Oryzias latipes: one gene and its partner. The protein of the gene in region 1 binds, or shares a complex with, the protein of each later gene. Links are inferred from orthologs where the notes say so. Each region holds a gene or a part of one and is shown on either strand. Other genes may lie near its edges.

Region 1 (4,317 bases):
AAATAAACATTTTAAAAAATACCTCGAAATCTACCTCTACCTTTTTTTTTAGTAGAATTTTATATGCAAGTCATGCCTAGTTCTACTCTATTCTATTATTCATGTGTTGATGTAGTTATTCTCACATAGCAGCCTTTGTTGCAAGTACTGTAAAATGACTGAGGGGGGGAAATGACTCAGAAACTACATGTCTTACCCCAAAGGTTTGACCACAACCACATTCACAAACTGCACACAATTTAAGCAACTTTTAATGATATTCTTATGCTCTTTTCTGTTAAATTAAGGACAAAGTGCTCATAAAAAATAATCTTAAAGAGGACTTTGGCCAGAATACTAAATGGTTTGCTCAAACTACACTTTTAGCTATGCATCTTGATTAAAAACTATTGTTTATAAATTAATTTGTAGACATAATGCTGAACATTAAAGGTGATTATTACAAACTTACAATGTGCCTTAATTTTATTTTGTGCACACACATATGTGTATTTTGAACAAAAATTCTGTTTTCAGTGTCAGTTTCTTTATTTCAAACACAAATGAAAAATAAACACAGTAGTTTAAAATAGACAAATAAAGCTAAACAGTGTGCTTGAAAAGTGAGTGAAGAGTGGGTTGAAGAGAAATCTTGTCTGATCCCACGCCTTTTTTACAACACCATATGATGTGCGTATTCAGTTAAATTTAAACAACTGGATGTATAATTAAAAAAATAGCATAAATAAAGATTTGTTTTATTTTTTTAGTCCACATATTTAACCCACTATGTTATTATATAGTCCCACTCTGATAATCTTTTGATCTATTGTAAAAGCATTCCCAGTGGTCTTTTAATTAGAGGTATGCTGTCTTTAGGCAAATAAAAAATCCTGTGTTGTTTTCTAGGACATAGTTTCTGCAGAATGGCTGGAATTCATTAGAAATTCACCTTTCAGTTGTGGCACTGAGTGAATCCACCTCCATCTCCCATCATCCATCGGTTTACAATGTCCTGCAAGTTTACAGCACCTCACAAACCCAATCTAACATTATCAGTGCAACAAAAAGGGCGAGCATTGTCATAGCTATCCAGACATACAGTTTTGAGCTTGATGCCAGCTCAGACAAAGAACACTAAGACGTACATGGATGTCTTTGTCTACAAGTGGATGCATCAGAATGGAGCTGAGCAAAGGAGCCTGTGGCTTGCCCCAATAATTTAAAGTCTTCTGACTAGATTTGAATCAGTAGAAGACCGAGAAAAACTTAGAATCACATTATTAAGCTTTATTTTCTTGATATATGTCTTCCATCGTCAGAAAATATGTCTTATGGACATGTAAAAAATACAATTTTCATCAGAATCGGTCTTTGAAAGTTTTCATTTTTTTGTTTTGAAGTAGTTTGATTTATTCATAAAGACAGACCGCTTCCCATCACCAGGTGAGGTTGTGTGGCTGTCCCGCTCAATCGGTGCATTCTGTGTGACAAAACAAGTGCTCGGTTGTAGGAGGCGTTTCCTTGCGGTTTCCAGCGCTTATCGTTCCCTTCATTGGTTAACAAAAAGGGGTTCGTGAGAACCGGGAAGAGGAGGGGGTTGTGGTCAAACCCCACCGCGACCAAAGCAGCACAAGGGGGAGAGGAGGAGAGAAAAGACTCGTCGCCGTCTCCGCGGCAGCTACAGCTGTAGCCCCACGTTTGGTCTGTTGGGCTTGTCCATTAGCTAGCATAGCATCGCCTGCCTCCGCCTTCCCGCCGCCGAGAACTCCGGGGTTCTTATCCCACCCAGCGCCATCTGCGTCCCGACTGGAGTTGGATCCTCCGTATCCGCTTAAAGATGATGAAGTTCAGGTTTCGTCGGCAGAGCACCGACCCGCAGAGGGAGAAAATAAAACAGGAGCTTTTCGCCTTCAAAAAGGTAAAGTAACGGGACTGGAGGGTGAGGTGCACGCGAAATCTTTCGTTGTGCCCCGCAACTAAAACACGGCTAGAATAATCAAAATAAGCGAACCTCAACGAAACTGGGAAGTAAAGCGGCTTATCCGCTTGTCTTCGTTCGCCTTTCTGTCCACGGAGAGACTCAATTAGCCGGGAAGGACTTCGGGTCGCTGGGGGAAAAGCTGGAGACTGGAGTCAGACTCAGATGCGCTTTTTGTTGAGATGATTTCACGGCGTGGCTCTGCATTCAGATGAGGACAGAAAACAAAACAATAGAAACCACTTTCATGTAACTAACCAGTATAAACAACACGATAACTCTGAAGGGAGATGCATCTTAAAACTGTAAATAACTTTGCGTTGCTTCTGTATGAAAAGGACTTTATAAATAAAGTTTGAATTTGAACCCTAATTATTCTGACCCATATTTTTGAACTGATCAATGTAGTGACGACTTTTCTCATAGTTGCAGCTTGTTCAGGTTCAGGTTTCATGCAAAAGAAAATTATGTACCACTCTCACATGAATATGAATCGGTGCTCAGAGTCAGTTGGATGTCTGCTGATGTTAGACTTATCTTTAAATCTCTTTTTATTTCATTTTATTTAAATCCAATCTAACTTGGAGCTACATTGTCTATTTTGGCCATATCTGCAACCTTGAATTAGGCTTAAAAAGTCTCTTGTCTTCTGTAAATTGGTTTTTATTATATTTCTTAACCAGCTTGCTGTTTTGCAATCAGGAATTCTGCCCAGTGGTCTGTTAAAGCTCACTATAACAGACCCCATTTTGCAGAGTTCTAGCCCTGTGTTGCTGTGAGATGAGGCCACTATCTTGTGCAGAGGGGGCCTGTTCAAACATTTGGTTTCGAAAGGCAATTGCACAGGAAAACGTGACACTGATCGTTGCTAATGCCCCACCACAGCACCCCAGCTGACAGAAATCTGGCCGTGGACTATTCCAGAGCAAATCTTGGATTTTGTCTGTGGGGTATCGTCCTGCTGGATGAACTAATTTCCTGCTAACTTCAGCTGAGAAAAATGAATTGTTGGTAGCAGAGGAGAAGCCCACATTATCACCACTTTGCTTGACAGTGGGAATGGGATTTTCCTGCCAAAACCTGTAGACAACAAGGCTAAACTTTTAAGCAACACAATTCCACTTTATTCATCCCTGACCAAAAGAAATCACATGATGTTTTACAAGCGCTAGCATTTGCAAAACTCCTTTGAAATGTCCTTAGTCATTGATTCAGAGGAATTCTCTTGGAAATTGTTGCCCACATACCAAATGTCTTCAGTCGGTCTTTAAATTTGCTGCCTTGCTTAACACTACTTTTTACAATTTTCTTCTCTGATATAAAGCTAAATGTGTTCATTTTTTTTCTTGAAAGAATTGCTTTCAAATTGTGAAATTTTCAGGATTTTATTTATAAGCAATGAGTATGAAATTTCCAAGTCTTAAAAGTTTTAGATAATTTTTATAACTTATTTCAAAGTGACTTGTTTCCATCTGTTTAAATTGTTTAAATGTTATTATCAAAACAATCATCCATACAGAATGAACAGAACGCTGAAGATCTCTGCTTTCACAGATCTTCCCCCACCTGCCAATGATCTACAGATCTTTGCAGTGATTCAGGGCACGTTCACACTGAACCTTTTGGTTCACAGTCCTCTTTGGCAGGTGTTTCAAGCTTATTTGAACTCTGGTGAATACCAAATAAACAAGCTGTTCTTTACATGAACACAAGGCTTCAGGTTCACTACAGTGATTACAGACTGATTATCTATCAGAAAGGAAATCATCACAAATTGTAAAAAATGTTGTCGGTAAACTTGGTGTAGTGATAAACTGTAGTGGCTTATTGTTGTGATTGTCAGAAGAGTAGCCAGGCTTTTTGGAATTCTTCTTTGTGCTTTTCTTGTGATCAAACTCAGGGTTCATTCAAACTGCTGTTGGAACTGTGACTGCAAAATGTAAAAGCGAATGCAAAAGGTTTCTGCTGATCTCCACCCGCTTAGCTTTTCTGATGTGAAAGAGTCCCTATCCTTTTGATGTAAAACAATTTATAGCCGCAGATCAAGAAGGTTTATTTTCATTATGCCTTACAAAAACAGATTTAAGAAGAATTGCAATAAAGCTTTCTTGGCTGAGCTTTATGACTTGTTTTCATCTAAAGAGCAGTTAACTGTATTTCTATTTTCTTTTTATCACACTAGTAGTTTATTTAGCAAGTAATTTTTTTCTTTTGCAGGCTGTAATTAAGAAATCCATGCATTTTTGGATGGTAAAAGTCCTTTTAAAAGTTAGGACTGTTATCAATAAAAGCATTAAAGACCCATTCTGATGAAAATCTTGGTGGATTTCATACTCATTTCTAATAAAAATCCTGAA
Region 2 (3,816 bases), on another chromosome or scaffold:
TACGCTCCAGATTATCTGTGATGCCACAAATAGGATGTTTTTTTTCTTTCAAAGCTTGTTCTGTCCAACAACTGAGCAAACAGATGAGAGCTGAAGGCCTTTTGTGTTGGACAGGTTTACAATCACAATAAAGGGTTTGGGTCTTCAGTGGCTGGGGTGTGTATTTGTATAAACCCCTTTTGGGTTTTTTAACATTTTCATTTATTTATTACATTTTATGTTTAAAAAAAATATATATATATATATATATATATATATATATATATATATATATATATATATATATATATATATATATATATATATATATATATATATATATATATATATATATATATATATATATATTATAGAGGGAAGGGAGATGGGGAAAAGTGCGTGTGTGTGTGTGTGCGTGTGGGGGGGGGGGGTTGTAAAAGAAAAAAAGAGAGGGTGGGATTAAGAATGGGGGGTGTTTTAGGAGCGACAGGAGAGCTGCACTTCCTGGTTCTACTAGAGACCCTCCATGTTGGAGATGGTGGTTTTGGTGTCTAACGTTTTCTTGCAGCATTTTTCTAATGGTGGAGGATATTTGTAAAGAAAATGAAGCTCTAAACTGCATTTCTGAGGATTTCTTTATTCAAATCTCTGCATATAAGGAACAGAGGACAAATGCCGTTTAAAATTATCGTTTTTGTGGCGTAGAAAATATGCTGGGCGGGGCCACAGTCTCCCTGCTCCGCCCCTTTCTGATCCTCCACCTGCAGACCAACAGATCCATGAACGTCTCAGTTTTCCTGGTCTGAGCTGGAATCTGGATCAGAACCGGATGGATGGACGGATCTGATGTTGCTGCTTTTTTTGTTGCACCGCTAATGTTAGGTTGGGGGTGAGAGGGGCTGTAAGCTAGTTGGACAGCATGAAAACAAAGGGATGATGGGATATTAAAAGAGGCTTTCTTCCACGCCAAGAGTTCCGCCCACAACTCTGAAGTAGATTTCTGATGAACTCTTGCTGCTCTGCAGAAACTATGTCTTACCAAATAACAGAATTTTGGATTTTGGCTCAAAACAGAATCATCATCATTAAAGACAACTGAGAAGGCTTTAACCTAACCTTTGACCTAAACCCCTCCATGTTCTTGTTGTGACGGTCTCTGTCGTTCCAGGTGACCCCTGCACCGTGTCTTCTCAGCTGGAACTGGAGGAAGCTCTGCGTCTCTATGAGCTCAACAAAGACTCGGAGCTCATTATTCACGGTGAGCAAACAGATTATTACCAACAGAGCCTCCTCTTTCACATCTGTCTGAGACCATCCTTCATCCAAACTCCTTTATTCCTCAGAAGTAGCATCAGTTCTTTGACGTTCTTTAGTTTCTGCTCTTTTTATCTTTGGATTTAAAAACCACAACATTTGGTTGTGTGAAGCGTCTGGGATGAGGGTCAGCACTGCTAAATCTGAGGCCATGTTCCTTGACTGGAGAAAGGTAGTTTGCCATCTCTCTGTGGGTGGAGTGTTTCTGCCCCAGGTGGAGGAGTTTAGATATCTTGGGGTGAGGGGAGACCGGAGCGTGAGAGTGACAGGTGGATCGGGGCAGCGTCCATCGTTATGCGGTCGCTGTACCGGGCCGTTGTGGTGAAGAGAAAGCAAAGCTCTCCATTTACCGGTTGATCTCCGTTCCAGTTCTCACCTACGGTCATGAGCTCTGGGTCATGACCCAAAGAACCAGGTCCTGAATACAAGCGGCTGAAATGAGCTTCCTCCATAGGGGGGCTGAGCGCTCCTTTAAAGAAAGGGGGAGGAGAGCTGTGAGTAGAACCGCTTCCCCTCCGCATCCAGAGGGGGCTCGGGCATCTGGTCTGGATGCCTCCTGGACGCCTCCCTGGGGAGGTGTTCCGGGCATGTCCCACTGGGCGGAAGCCCCAGGGAAGAGGAGCTGGAGGAAGTGGCCGGGGAGAGGGAAGTCTGGGCAACTATGCTTAGACTGCTGCCCCCGCGACCCGGTCCCGGATAAGCTGAAGAGGATGGATGGATGGATGGATGATGGATGGATGGATGGATGGATGGATGGATGGATGAAAGATGGATGGATGGAGCATTTGGTTGTTGATCTGCTGTTTTGGGCTGTGCAGCTGGAGCCATGTCTGTCTGAAGTAAATGGTTATAAACAGAAGCAGTCCCTCTGAGCCCAAATCATCATCCGTCCACCGCCATGTTTCCACTGGTGTTTGTGTCTTACTGTAAGCGTCATTCCTGCACTTCTTGATCTTTGTATTTCTAGAAGGAAGCCGATTTCTCACAGTTTAGTGGTTTCACCATCAATGAGGGAACCGGCGACAGAATATTTTCTGGTTTCAGTGGAACCGAGCTGCCCCTCTGCGACCAGGACTCGTTCAGCCTCAGAGGAGCCTGTCGGTCCGCTCAGCGTCCCGCTGGCTGCTGCTTTACAAGCCACACCGTCTGCTCCTTTGCATGCTCCATTTCTGCTCATTAAGCTGCAGCTCATGAAACCTCAGGCTAAGAATCCTGTTTGACGAGCTTTGTCAAAGCACATCATCAGCTCTGGCTGTCACTCATGTTTTCCCTCCGTTAGGCTCGTACAACAGCGGGCGGCGTTCCCTTTAGGCTTCATGAATGTTTATTTGTTTGTTTAATCTGCATTAAAGTATTCTTTCCTCTTCATAATAAAAGCCACACTTTACATTTTCTTCACTGAGGATGAACATGAGTGACAGCACACTGTCATCATACTTTTATTTGATTTAAAATGTTTCTGCTTTATTTACCAACAACAAATTCGTAAAAAAATTTGTCCAAACAAAATCCCCCAAAGCATCTTTTATTTATACATTTATGCTTCCGTTTCTGTGATCATCTCAGTTATCAGTTTAACGGAAAAGAGCCAGACTGTCGGCAGAGGCTGACCGGCCGTTTTCCTCTGTGGCTCTCCTGCATAGCCTGGGGGGGGGGGCATCAGGGCATACGGCTAGAGCTTCAGCGACCCGTGAAACAGCAGCACTTCCTCTGTGAACGTCTGCCCCCCCTGTGCTCCCCGTCCAGCCTAACCCTGTTCCGAATGTTGAGGAGCTTGGAGGTCGGGGTTCACTCTAAACGTTGGGCTGTGTTTGTGTAAACATGTGACCCCGAGGGGGCGGGCTCACTAAAGCTCTAATCAGTTTAAGGGTGACGGGTCAATAGATGTCATTCTGACTGGGGAGGAGGCTGGGGCTGGAGGGGGTGCAGGCGGCGGGTTGCCAGGTCTGCTCCTGACAGAGGTCGTTGGGTTCTCTGACTCATCGGTCCGTTCCTCTTCAGGACGTGAATCTTCTGCTGAAATCCCGTCTCTCCGATCCGATTCTGGTCGGATCAGCTGATTTCTTTGGTGATTTATTCCTCATTTGAAGGCCGTTTGTTTCCTTCCAGTGTTCCCGTGTATCCCAGAGAAGCCGGGGATGCCTTGTCCAGGAGAAGACAGTGAGTTCTGCCTCTTCCTTCTGTACAGAACCTGGACCCACGCAGAACTTCAACAATGGAATTTCTTCATGGGACCTTTATTTTTTAAAATCTGCACGGGTCAACTCGACCCAGACACACTCCAGTTTTACATTTCATTTTTCAAACATGTTGACTGATGCCGATGATCTTTACTAAGATTAAGTCAGCTCTACTTCTGCTTTCACCTACCCCCCCCCCCCCCCCCCCCCCCCCAATGAAATTGAGCATAATCAACCAACCCAAATGTTTTTGTGCATCAGCTTGGACCGGCTTCACCAAACGGCAGAACTCGGTTTGGGCTTTGCTGTTTGAAGGGCCAGAGGAACCATCAGGAGAACGAAG

What was found.
Region 2: the proteins of llgl1 (region 1) and prkci are in contact, whole or in part, in a cryo-EM structure (PDB 8R3Y), measured with the Homo sapiens proteins. The link is inferred for Oryzias latipes from reciprocal best matches to the Homo sapiens genes LLGL1 and PRKCI. Residues at the interface, in NP_004131.4 of Homo sapiens: Ala315, Asp319, Glu367, His391, Ser392, Ala394, Thr396, Glu453, Cys483, Glu484, His485, Phe506, Asp507, Pro508, Tyr509, Ser510, Asp511, Pro513, Gln518, Lys519, Lys569, Ala600, Val601, Thr602, Leu644, Gly648, Pro649, Leu650, Ser651, Arg652; in NP_002731.4 of Homo sapiens: Asp339, Met341, Gln345, Arg348, Leu381, Asp382, Met399, Thr412, Phe413, Cys414, Pro417, Leu425, Glu445, Gly449, Arg450, Ser451, Gly457, Ser458, Ser459, Asp460, Asn461, Pro462, Asp463, Asn465, Thr466, Glu467, Asp468, Tyr469, Leu470, Phe471.

What each region holds. Positions count from the first base shown.
Region 1 is NC_019866.2:18,034,732-18,039,048, forward strand, and holds the start of llgl1 (lethal(2) giant larvae protein homolog 1), read left to right. Parts: upstream 1-1,484; 5' UTR 1,485-1,819; coding exon 1,820-1,900; intron 1,901-4,317. UniProt on the Homo sapiens protein: Cortical cytoskeleton protein found in a complex involved in maintaining cell polarity and epithelial integrity. Involved in the regulation of mitotic spindle orientation, proliferation, differentiation and tissue organization of neuroepithelial cells.
Region 2 is NC_019875.2:30,180,284-30,184,099, reverse strand, and holds part of prkci (protein kinase C iota type), read left to right. Parts: intron 1-1,147; coding exon 1,148-1,237; intron 1,238-3,402; coding exon 3,403-3,453; intron 3,454-3,816.